3 linked regions of the Canis lupus familiaris genome follow. The protein of the gene in region 1 purifies or fractionates together with the protein of each later gene. This does not show direct contact. Links are inferred from orthologs where the notes say so. Each region holds a gene or a part of one and is shown on either strand. Other genes may lie near its edges.

Region 1 (4,035 bases):
TGGTGGAAGGGGAGGGGGGCGGGGGGTGGGGTGACTGGGTGGGGGGCACTGAGGGGGGCACTTGACGGGATGAACACTGGGTGTTATTCTGTATGTTGGCAAATTGAACACCAATAAAAAATAAATCTATTATTAAAAAAAGACAAGAACTTGGGAGATTGCCCCCTATCCCGCGAGATTAACCTACATTATTTATTTATTTACTCATTCAAGAGACAGAGAGAGAGAGAGAGGCAGAGACACAGGCAGAGGGAGAAGCAGGCTCCATGCACCGGGAGCCCGACGCGGGACTCGATCCCGGGACTCCAGGATCACGCCCTGGGCTGAAGGCAGACGCCCAGCCGCTGAGCCACCCTTGCGTCCCCCTATGTAATCTATTAAAAGCAAGTCAGTTCAAACAAAATAGGTTTTAAATCAATCAACCTTCTCTCCAATAGGTCCTGCCACAACTTAATTAGCTTTTTGTTGTTACTGAGCCTTATTATCATATAATGCGATGGCTCTGAGGCTTGAGCGGACGCTGGTATCACCTGGAGCGCTTGTTAAAACAGGCTGCTGAGACCCCTCGGATTTCTAATTCAGGAAGTCTGGGGCGGGCGCTGAGACTCCGCGCTCGTAATAAGTTACCAGACACGATGCGGAGGTTGCGGGGACCACACTTTGCGACCCAACCGCCACCATGCACGCTGCGCTAAACTCCGTCCCTCCCACCTCCCAGCACCACTCGTCTAAGAAGGCACACGCGATTATCCTCTCGGGAACTTCAGGAAGGGCGCACCGGTACCTACTCCTAAATAAGCCAAGGACTCTGCACGCGCAGCAGAAATTAGGATGAGACAAACCTACATCCGGCGCCTGGCGCAGCCAAGCTACGCCATTTCCTTTCTGCGAAGCTCCGCCCACTCCGCGTCTCTAACGCGAGTAAAGGTGGGCGGCGCAGAGAAAGCTGGGAATCACGTGAGGAGGTGACGTCTCGCGAGGCTTTTAACCTCTCGCGAGGCTTGATCCGTTCTGTCTTTTCCTCCTTCTAGTGCCCGGCTTTTTCCCCTCCCCCTCGTCGCTGACCAAGTTCTTCCTTTTCAGACCGAGTCGCCTTGTTGTTGCCGCGGAGATTTTTTTTTTTTTTCCTGCTGCTGCCGCCGCCGTCGCCGCCGCCACCACCACTGGGCTCCTTTGCCCCGACCCTCTCCTGCGCCCTGCCCCCAGCCCCACCCAAGGTAACGAAGCCGATGAGGGAAGAGAGCAGGGCCTCGCCGGGCCTGGGCCTCGGGTCGGAGCAGAGGCCTGAGGCCGGGGAGCGGGCGGGCCGCGCCGGAGAGGCTTGGGCAGCCGGCTAGAATCCCAGGGGCCCGGCCCCCCTCCCACCCGGGGTTGGGCCGGGCTGGGCCGGGCTGGGAGCTGCGTGCGGCGGCGGCGACGGGGGCCAAGCGGGGAGCCGGTCGGGTGGGGTGGGGACGCGGGAGGCCTCCGGAGGACGCCCTCAGCCTTCCTGCGGGGCGCCTTGCGGGTAGGAGGCTCCGGCGCCGCCGGGGGCCGCTCCGGTTGTGTTTTCGGTTTCCCTGGAGCTTGTGTTTGGATTTGGAGGTCTGAAGTCCTCGAGCGGTTGTGGCGGGCTTGCTCTCGCCCCTTTGGAGCCCTTCCAGATTCCAGGCTGTGCTGGACGGGAACTGGAAGGCAAGGGTCCTCGGAAACCCCGCGTGATTGCTTTATGCACCGAGAAGGGATTCTCGTGTCGTATTTTCCGGAGGAGAATGAGCCCGGTGGGTGAAAAAGGCACGCTCCTTAGAAAGCCTAAGCGGGACCGTGTTCGTGCCGTTTCTTTAGTGAAGGAGCTGCATCGGCGATATTTAAGTGACCGGGTGAAACATTTTTTTGCTCTGGAGAGAGGTTCTAAACACACTCCTATCTCACGGAGGGAGTATTATTTATGTAGTTAATCCAAAAGCCATTTCTGTTTTGTTTTGGATGTAGTATTGAGTGCTTAAAAACACTTTATCAAGTCTCCACTCTTCAACAGATTAGTGCTTTTTTTTTTCTTTTCTTTTTCTTTTTTTTTTTTTTTTTTTGGTAAAGCTGTAACACCAAACAAACAAACATAAAAGAGCCAAATAGAGTGTCCTCCCTGTTACAGAAGTTTAAAGAAAATTGGAAATTATCCTTCTCCCTTTTGTCTTAGCTCTTGTTTTCTGTTTCTGTGTGGAATTTATTGGACGTGTTTATAAACTGTGGAATCCATTGCCCTGAAGCTTGGGTTTGACTCCCAGCTCTTCTCATAATTAAGAGTAAAGGTAATGGTAATAAGTTAAGCTGCAACAATGAATTACATTGAGGAGCAAAACTGGTAAGGATGAAGGCAGGCAGACAGGGAAATTATTATTTTTTTTTTATGGTGCTTTTGGTTCAGTTTTCATGATCTTACTCTTTTATTTTCCCCAGATGTCAGAAGATCTAGCAAAGCAGTTGGCAAGCTACAAAGCTCAACTCCAGCAAGTTGAAGCTGCATTGTCTGGAAATGGAGAAAATGAAGATTTGCTAAAATTAAAGAAAGACTTACAGGTAAGTATAAGAGGACACTAATAGTTACATTGCTTGGAAAAACTATTCTTTTTCAAATGATCTTATTACTTAGAATCCAAAGCACCATTTGGAGGGGGATATTTCCTCTCCTACTCTCCCTTGTGTGTACATGTGTGTATGTACATAGGCATTTATGGCTCATAGAAGTAGGGTTGCTTCCTCTGTTACAGACCTCAAAATGAGTAAAGCGTTGTTCTGTTATGTAAATCTTGTGTGTTGATTTAACTTAAAAGAGTTGGTTTTAGAATTTTGTCAAACCTTTTAGAGAAGAGGTACATTTAACTTTACAGTAGAAAATGCTTTTATTTTTAAAGATCTGGCAAAGGAAATTTAGTTCAAAAGGTAACTAAAAGAAAAATATGAGGAATTTAAAAAATGTTAACTATACTGGAATTAAAAGAATGTGGAAGCGTTTTATAAATGATAAAAAACAATGAGAAAAATGTAACCTGATTAAGATTTTTTTTAATGTTACAAGATTCTTTGAAACAGAAATGAGAATGTGTGTGTGTGTTTCAAAGCTAGCAGGTAAACAACTTGTATTGAAAACATAAGAATATCTAAAGAGATACTTGGTTTCTGCATAAATGTTACATAATGTTTGAATTTAAGGCTAGATTTTACAGTGTAGTTGTTGATACTTGTTGAAATTGAGTGGATGTGGAAAGATCTGTTTTGTCTGTCATGGGAAAGTTCAGTAGGAATAAAACTTGGCTTTTGAAAACCTGCACTGGGGTTTCAAGACAAAATGAAAATCATTATAGTAAATATCTATTGTTTCTCAGAACATTAGGTTGATTAGTGAAAATCCTATGTGTGTATATATACACATGCATATGTATAGAACTTTATTTTTAAAAATTTGAGAATAAAATTTTGAACCTGATTTTTTTTTTGAAAGTTTTAAAAGATGTTTTTTTACTAGATGATCTTCCTTTACTGATTCAGTACAAAACTAGAATCATCTTTATCCTATCTAAATCCTTTTCCTCCTTTTATCATTCTCTTGCCCATTAAAATGAATATTTTAGGGATATCAGAACTGAAAATAAATGAAACTTCTTTGAAATGGGGTCCAAATACAGGACTTTGAAAAAGTTTATCTGGGCATAATTAAAATGAGTTGAAAATTTTTAGGTTCAAATTATGGATTTAGGATAAACATGCCTAAGGTTGCAGTAATATATAGTTTTTAAAAACACAGAAAACAGGATCCCTCTTCAGTATTTAGAAGTCAGGCCAGTGAATGTGAGAGTGCTAGTCAATACAAAAGATGTTTTGGGAGCAGTTTCTCCCACTTCCAGGGCAACGTTCTGCCTACCTCAAAGAGAGATCCTGGAATGTATCACTTACCAGCTTAAAAGTGGTCCTTTTTTTTTCTTTGAAGAAAATAAAACATTGTTGATATTGTGTATTTTGCTTCCTGGGCAGTTGTTGGAAGAGGGATATGTGTGGAAC
Region 2 (4,035 bases), on another chromosome or scaffold:
GGAAAGAATTTCCTATTTAGGATTATGATGTGAGCAACCTTCCTGGCCCAGTCTGTTTTTGTTTCTCATAAACATATCTATCCTGGACCTGGCATCCCATTATTTTTCCCGTGCTCTCAGCTACTTCTCTTTGGAAGGCAGTCAGTGAAATGGAGCATGCTAGAAAGAAGATATGAAGGGTGTGTGTGTGTGTGTGTGGGTGTCAGGAAAATGAGACCACTTTACTTGAATTTCCCAGCTCTCACTCAACACACACACACACACACACACACACACACACACAGAGGCAATGAGCCTGCCAGTGAGAGGACAGGGCTAGAATGGGAAGAGGATCTCAGAGCTAGTGGCAGAGATGGGAAGAGAAACTGAATTGATGGGTCAGGATAGAGAGAGATGGAAGCTACACAAGCAGGGAACATCTGCTCATCCCTCCCTCAGGTGCACAGGCGGTTGCTGGTGCTGCTGGTGCTGTTGGGGCAAGGAAGGCAGCGTCGACTCTGCCAGTAGGCTGGTGGGGATAAGGGGAGAAAAAGTCCTGAGCTCATTTTTGGGACTAAAAAAGATGCATCCTGTCGCCCGAAAGATCGTTTCGTTTGTTTTCCCCATTAATCATTACTGAGCGCCTCTTGAACGCCAGGTGCTGCCGGACAGTAAAAAGACCAGGTCCCCTGTGCACGTTCTTGGGGAGGTGGGGCAAAGGGGCAAGAAAGAGTTTAAAACAAATGGTAGATGTTTGTACGTGTTACGGGAACTCCAAGGAAGGAAAGGAAAGCGGGAGAAAGGCTAGCGGAGACATCTGAGCCGGCCTGATAGGTGGAAAAAGGGGCTTTAGTGTGGCCCTTCCCCCCAGGTCGGCAGCTGGAGCTCAGCCCGCTCCCCTCCTGGCTCCGATCCTCTTTCAGCCCATTCATCCATGCGTGGGCCGGGGGTGGGCGGGCAGACAATCAGATACTGTTTTATCACAGGCATCGGCTGCAACCTCCCGCTTGGCGCCCACAACGCGCGGCCGCTGGCAGAATGAGTCCTTCAGGCCTCCCTGAGGAACGAAAGCGTCCGGGCCTCTCACGCCTGAGCTGAAAGTCTGGTCGGAAGGCTGGAGATCTGCGCTCCGGCGAGGCAGACGCAGAAAGGACGCCTTTCTGGCGGGACCATCTTGCCCCGCAGCCCCGCCCCTGCTCCAGCCTCCAGTGTTGCCGGTGCTTCAGCCCGGCACTGTGCTCCGGGAGCCGGACCCGCAGAGAACGGGACCTGCGTACTACAACTCCCAGAAGGCTTCGCGGCCTGGCATCCTGGGGACGCTTGGAGATCCGCAGGGTCTGGGCCGCAATGTGAACCGCCTGCCAATCCTCCAGCGGACGTGGCGTACGGCGCTGCCGGAAGTTCCGGCAAGTGGGCCCCAGGTCCGGTCCGGACTTCCGCGTTGGTCGCGCGCCTTCCTGCGGCTAAGATGGCGGCCGAGCATCCCGAGCCTCCCAAAGGAGAGTTGCAGCTGCCGCCGCCGCCACCTCCCGGTCACTATGGCGCTTGGGCTGCCCAGGAGCTTCAGGCCAAATTGGCGGAGATTGGAGCTCCGATCCAGGGTGAGGAGCTCGGGAGGTCAAGGGCCGGGGCAGCGTAGGCCCAGGGAGAAGCGGAGCCTGGTTACCCCGGAGACCCGGGGGGCGGAGGGAGGGGCGGAGGCGGACCGCTGGGGCCTGGCTTGGTCCCGCAGGCCTGCTCGGCCTGACTTACCCCGTTGATCTTGTGCTTTGCCCATCAGGGAGTCGCGAGGAGCTGGTGGAGCGGCTGCAGACCTACACGCGCCAGGTAAGTGTTGGCGGGACGTCAGGATAGGCCGAGTTTCTGAAGGCCTCAATGAGCCCTCAGGACTCGGTCTTAGCTTTTTATGTACCTTGCTGTTTCTGCTTGTTTTTTTACATTACCTGACCAGTTGTAAACATTTCTGTATATATAGGTCTTCTGCAGTGCCTAGCGCAAGCTCTGGCAAATGGGCAGTTGGTAAATTTTGTTGAATGAATGGGAGCAATGACGTTTTGTGGAACAGCTCCTCTTGGACTGACCTGGAGTCCTTTCTCTTTTGCAGACAGGCATCGTGCTGAATCGCCCAGTTCTGAGAGGTGAAGATGGGGACAAAGCTGCTCCCCCTCCCATGTCCGCACAGGTAAGGAGGTGGTTCTACTTTATAAGATGACTTCTGTTCAGGGCAGCTCCTCTCACAGTCAGTGTTTTGGGGATGCCACTAACAGATTGGACAGGGAGAAATGGGAGCTCTTCAGTTCCCCTTTAGTCCTGATCCTTACCTCCTTACCCAGTGTCTGCTTCTCCAAATACTACCTGTCATTTAAGGTTTAGCTTAAGTAATTTAGAAGCCTGACTTGATTCTCCTTCAGCTGGAAATAGCTCTTTTTTGCCTTACCAGGCACAGTTCTCATTTTGTTCAGTGAGACATTATGGCTCACTCTCTTATTTTATTTCATACCTTTTATATTTAGTGAGCCATTGGGACACACTGGCTCCAGTTTATTTAAGTCTTCTTAACTTCCATTTCCTTTCTGAGCCAGGATTTGAATTTTTCTCTAGGACAAGACTCTGATCTGGGATCTATTGACTTCTGTGGGTGGGAGGAGGAGTTCCCAGGTGGCCATTAGAGGTGTCCTTGGATTTCCTGAAATTGTATGCACAATCTGTGTTCATGGTTTTCTGGGGAGAGAGTCAATAGCTTTCCTTGGTTGGTACCCCAAAGTTAGTATTCTCTTCTATCGGTATTATATTTTTTTGAATGCAGGAATTGTCACTTGACTTTGAATTTTAGTACCTGGCTCATAGTACCTGCAAATGTCTGCAGTAGATAAACGGTTCCTAGTGTATGTTGACTTTTTTTCCACAGCTTTCTGGGATTCCCATGCCACCACCACCCATGGGACTCCCCCCTCTGCAACCACCTCCACCACCCCCACCACCTCCACCAGGCCTTGGCCTTGGCTTTCCTATGGCAGTTGGTCCCCGCCCACCAAACTTGGGGCCACCTCCTCCTCTCCGCGTGGGTGAGCCTGTGGCTCTGTCAGAGGAGGAGCGGCTGAAGCTGGCGCAGCAACAGGCAGCATTGCTGATGCAGCAAGAGGAGCGTGCCAAACAGGTAGGGGAGGTGGCAGGTTGGGCATAGGTCTCATCAGGGTCCTAAAGAGGATTGAAGCCTTAGAGAAAGCTGGATCCTGGGGCCAAGCCTTCTGGGAAGTCTGGACCAACGACTGGAACATAGACCCCAGGCTGAAAGAGGACCCCCAGAAGCAGTGTTGTGGCAGCCTGGCCTGAGGGGTAGTGGTGCTGATGTGAGTTTGTTTTCTTTTTTAAGCAGGGAGATCATTCACTGAAGGAACATGAGCTTTTGGAGCAGCAGAAGCGGGTAATTCCCTCCATTGGCTGTCACTTCTAGTACTAGTGTCCAAAACAAGATGCTCCATTCAAGTTTTCCATGGAGGTTACCTCATCCTTAAGTTCCAGTATCTCCCAGATAATCCCATCTTTTCTGGAGCCCAGATTGGTAAACTACAGACTGTGACCTGATTTTGTATGGCCTGCAAGTTAAGAATGGTGTTTCTAACTTTGGAGGATTGTTAGGAAAAAAAAAATTGGCAAACCAAGAACATACTGCAACCCTTGCAATGGCCCATAAAGTCTAAGATATCTGTTGTTTAGCCCATTACTGAAAAAGTCTGATAATTCGTATTAGTCTTATATGATTTTAGATACCTATGAGAGGACTCTGGATTAGTCAATTGTGTGGGATTTAGACTAAATGTGATAGAGGTAGTTAGAGAATAATACATGAGACATGCAGTCCCAGAGGTGCACTCTATCAGTTGTTCCCTGCTGCATTACTGGAGATATTGAAAGTAAGCATTAACAGGAATAGATATGAAATTATGAAGTGCTGATTTTGCCTAGAATGTGTTAGATCTTTTTTTTTTTTAATTTTTTTTTTTTTAATTTAGTTATGATAGTCACACACAGAGAGAGAGGCAGAGACACAGGCAG
Region 3 (3,935 bases), on another chromosome or scaffold:
GTTATCCAGGAGCAATTTTAATTAAGCCCTGTGTTATTTTTCCTTTGTGTACTACTTCCAGGGTTGAAGGTCTCGAGATTCCTTTTTATTCTGTTATTTTCCTGTTCTTCTTTTTCAAGATTTGGGTATTAACATTAGCATTTTAACCTGAGGTCACTGGTGTCTGTCTCTGGTCATTGGAGACCATAGGAATAGATTTATTCATGAGGTAGAGGTATAGGGAGGATAGAGTGGGGCTGAACCCACTTTACTAGTGACAATAAATACTATTGGGAATTTATGCTGTTTTGAACAAAGCCATCATTCGTTGTCTCATCAAATATATGTTCGTTGTCAGACTTTATTTCAAATGCTAGACATAAAATAGTAAACTAAAGATAGAAATCTCAAAAAAAAAAAAATAAAAAATAAAGATAGAAATCTCTGTTTTTGTGTAGTTTCTGTTCCAGTGAGGGGGACAAGCAAGTGCAACGTCAGTGGATGTCCGATGGTAATAAATACTACAGAGAATAGAAAGCAGGGGACGGAATGTAGGAGATGAAGTCTGTAGGCGGCAGTCTGGAGTCCGGGTTGTCAGGGGAGCATGTGCAAAAGGGTAGGAACAGCCCTGTGCCCTGAGACCAGCCAGCACATGTACACTATATGCTGAGTGATGAGCAGTGCTTTTGCCTATTTTCCTGCCGATCCTTGCAACAGTTTTTTAAGTTGACTCTGCCAGCTTTAAGTGGTGGTGTCACTATTTATAGAAGGCAGCCAAGTTACAGAGGTTAAGTAACTTGTCCAAAGTCACACAGCAAAGTGGAGCTGGAATTGGGACCTGGAACCCCATCCTCTCACTTTTCCTGTGCCTTTCTACAGGTCCCGGAAGGCCACTTGTTTGTCCTGTATTGTGTGGCACTGACACCTGCTTTAACTCTTCATATTGCAGATCTTGATTCCCCCTAAAGGCTTATTTACAAAGCTCAAGAAAGAGGCGGAGAACCCCCGAGAAGTTTTGGACCAGGTAAACTGAATTATAACTAGTTAGTGGTGGTGTGGGTTGTTTCATACTTGGAATAAGGCTCTGAGGTGGGACCTTATTCAGTTCAGGCACAGGAGTGGTGGGAAGAAAGGCCTTATGGCCACAAAGGCTGAAGAACCCTGGACTCTGCTCTCTTTCTACTTTCTCTCAGCTTTACTGGATCTTCCTCTTTTCTGTCCTCACTAGAAGCCAACTGATTATTAGATTAGATGATTAGAAGCCAACTCCTGAATAGGCTTGCTGGTGACAAATGCCTTTTGCTGCCCCAAGTTTTCAGAGTCAAGGAGAGAGAAGGCATATTGGTGCTGCCTGTTCTGGGTGGCTGCATGAAGCCTTTGTTTCTCAGGTTCTCAGATTGCTGCTTCTCTTGTGGGTATGTGTTGTCACATACACTTCCTGGGACAGAGTTTGCTGCTCTGTGAGCATAGACCTCCTTGCCAACTCAAGCAGAAAACTGAGGTTATAACAAATGGCTGCCCTTGGGGCCCAGACACAAGGTTTCTGTGACATTTAGAATTTTTATTCTTTCCAATCTATGGGTCTGACTGAAACCAAATGCAAATACCAGCGTTTACTCCGGAAGTTCTCCCTGTAGACAGAACAGCCTCCTGTTTCAAAGGAGATGCTGGATTTGGTGAAGGGCCTGGAGGTGACCGCCCCATCAGCAGCAGACCCTGATCAGCTTAGCATCATGCCATTTCTGTCTCTTCAGGTGTGTTACCGGGTGGAGTGGGCCAAGTTCCAGGAGCGAGAGAGGAAGAAGGAAGAGGAGGAAAAGGAGAAGGAACGGGTGGCTTATGCACAGATCGACTGGCATGATTTTGTGGTGGTGGAAACCGTGGACTTCCAACCCAATGAACAAGGTAGATCTGTGACTCCAGATGAGTAGCCAGGAGCCATCCTGGAACATCTCAGGTATACATCTTTTCCCAGGGAGCAGCACAGTCCCGCAGAGAGTTTTATCTGTCTGTTTCATCTCTGCTATCAGAATCCTTCAAATTTGCCACATTGCCCCCACTTAAATCCAATAGAGCAAACATCGTGCCAGATGTTGGGTGGACGTCTGGAGCTGGGAGAGAAATCGGGCCCTTGGAGAGCTTACAGTGTGGGGAGGGCAGACTGATGGGTCTTTGCTAAGGATTGTCTGTGGAGGTTGCCTTTGACTCTGAATCACCCTCTACCAGGGAATTTCCCTCCCCCCACCACCCCGGAGGAGCTGGGGGCCCGAATCCTCATTCAGGAGCGCTATGAGAAGTTTGGGGAAAGTGAAGAGGTTGAAATGGAGGTCGAGTCTGATGAAGAGGATGAGAAACAGGAGAAGGCAGAGGAGCCTCCTTCCCAGTTGGACCAGGATACTCAAGTGCAAGATATGGATGAGGTATATGCTCCTGGGAGGTCCTGCAAGCTGGCCTTTCCCTCTGGAGCTTAAGGAGATGGTGCTTTCCACAAGTCAGATCCAGCTCCCTTATGAACCTTGAAAGGAGGCATGGGTCCCGAAAAGGGATCCCAGCTGAGCAGCTGCCCAAACCCAGGCAGCATAGAGCCTCTTTCTAGCTCTGGCAACAAAGATTCATTCACAGGCAAGGATCTAAAAGCTGTGCTGGCTCTGTTCTGTGACCTTCCCCCCTTGGCCCAGAGGCCCTATTCTCCCCTGCCCCCATGCCAGCTCTCAGTAAGGGAACACTTTTTGCCACATGCTTTGATGCATTTGAGCCTAGGCCCAGATGATTAGTGGTTCCCAGAGCTTTTCTCAGTGTAGACTGTGCTTCTTTTCGGCCGCCTCTACCACCCCTACCCCCCCTCCCGCCCCAGGCAGGCATAGAGTCTCCGGAGCCAAGCTGCTCTCCTCCTCTTGGAAAGAAATTGTGTGTGAGAAGAAAGGCCCCTGTGTCTGTGGGAATTAACTTTTTCTCTCCCTCCCAGCATTGCTCCATGAGTAGCTACCATTGAGCACTGACTTGCCCCCCGCACCCTCCCTCCCCAGCATGTTTAAGTGCCCTTGGTCTCCTGGGACTGCCTGGTGCCAGCTGCTGGAAATGCCTGGGCGGAGTGTTAGCACCACGGCCCCCAGCACTCCCATTCATGTTGTGAGGAAACAGCTTGGCCAGCTGCCGGCTGGCCTCGGCTGCCCCCAGAGGCTTAGCACATAGATGCTGGCTGGCAAAGACCTAAGTTCCTTGCCACCCTGAGAGCCATCAGGGCTTAGCTTCAGGGAGGTGGCCTGTCAGCCATTCTCTGAGTCCTACCATTGCTTTGCTTTTCAGGGTTCAGATGATGAAGAAGAAGGGCAGAAAGTGCCCCCACCCCCAGAGACACCGATGCCGCCTCCTCTGCCCCCAACTCCAGACCAGGTCATTGTTCGGAAGGACTATGACCCCAAAGGTAGGGCCTGCATTCCTGCCTTCAAACGTTCCCCAGAGCTATCTGTTTCTAGGAGAGAGTGAGGTGGCTTGTCTCGAAGGCATTGATAACCCATCCTTCGCAGGCCTAGCGGTGGGGAACAGAGCTGAGTCATCTCTGGTGCCGAAGTGCCTTGCACAGTACCAGGTATAGCATGGCACTAAATGGATGTGTCTCAGATGAGTGATGTGTAAATGAAACAACAGTCTTGACCCTGACTACTTTCCAGTGTTCTCATTCAGGCATCTCTGTTTCCTTTTAGCTTCCAAGCCCCTGCCTCCAGCTCCTGCTCCAGATGAATATCTTGTGTCTCCTATCACGGGGGAGAAGATCCCTGCCAGCAAAATGCAGGAACATATGCGCATCGGACTCCTTGATCCCCGCTGGCTAGAGCAGCGAGACCGCTCCATCCGTGAGAAGCAGAGTGATGATGAAGTTTATGCACCAGGTGAGGTGGCGGTTCTCCCACCCGGTCCATACTTCTCTGACTCAGTCCTGACTCAATTTGACCCAT

What was found.
Region 2: the proteins of SMNDC1 (region 1) and SF3B2 purify together in Homo sapiens (affinity purification with mass spectrometry; 3 studies listed by BioGRID and IntAct, with this or other methods). This does not show direct contact. The link is inferred for Canis lupus familiaris from reciprocal best matches to the Homo sapiens genes SMNDC1 and SF3B2.
Region 3: the proteins of SMNDC1 (region 1) and SF3A1 purify together in Homo sapiens (affinity purification with mass spectrometry; 3 studies listed by BioGRID and IntAct, with this or other methods). This does not show direct contact. The link is inferred for Canis lupus familiaris from reciprocal best matches to the Homo sapiens genes SMNDC1 and SF3A1.

Annotation. Positions count from the first base shown.
Region 1 is NC_049249.1:21,895,103-21,899,137, reverse strand, and holds the start of SMNDC1 (survival of motor neuron-related-splicing factor 30), read left to right. Parts: upstream 1-1,514; 5' UTR 1,515-1,751; coding exon 1,752-1,760; intron 1,761-2,430; exon of another isoform or gene 2,431-2,436; coding exon 2,437-2,556; intron 2,557-4,035. UniProt on the Homo sapiens protein: Involved in spliceosome assembly.
Region 2 is NC_049239.1:51,712,367-51,716,401, reverse strand, and holds the start of SF3B2 (splicing factor 3B subunit 2), read left to right. Parts: upstream 1-1,401; 5' UTR 1,402-1,447; coding exon 1,448-1,580; intron 1,581-1,759; coding exon 1,760-1,806; intron 1,807-2,083; coding exon 2,084-2,161; intron 2,162-2,887; coding exon 2,888-3,136; intron 3,137-3,352; coding exon 3,353-3,403; intron 3,404-4,035. UniProt on the Homo sapiens protein: Component of the 17S U2 SnRNP complex of the spliceosome, a large ribonucleoprotein complex that removes introns from transcribed pre-mRNAs.
Region 3 is NC_049247.1:23,899,308-23,903,242, reverse strand, and holds part of SF3A1 (splicing factor 3A subunit 1), read left to right. Parts: intron 1-928; coding exon 929-1,003; intron 1,004-1,733; coding exon 1,734-1,884; intron 1,885-2,205; coding exon 2,206-2,399; intron 2,400-3,285; coding exon 3,286-3,403; intron 3,404-3,683; coding exon 3,684-3,869; intron 3,870-3,935. UniProt on the Homo sapiens protein: Component of the 17S U2 SnRNP complex of the spliceosome, a large ribonucleoprotein complex that removes introns from transcribed pre-mRNAs.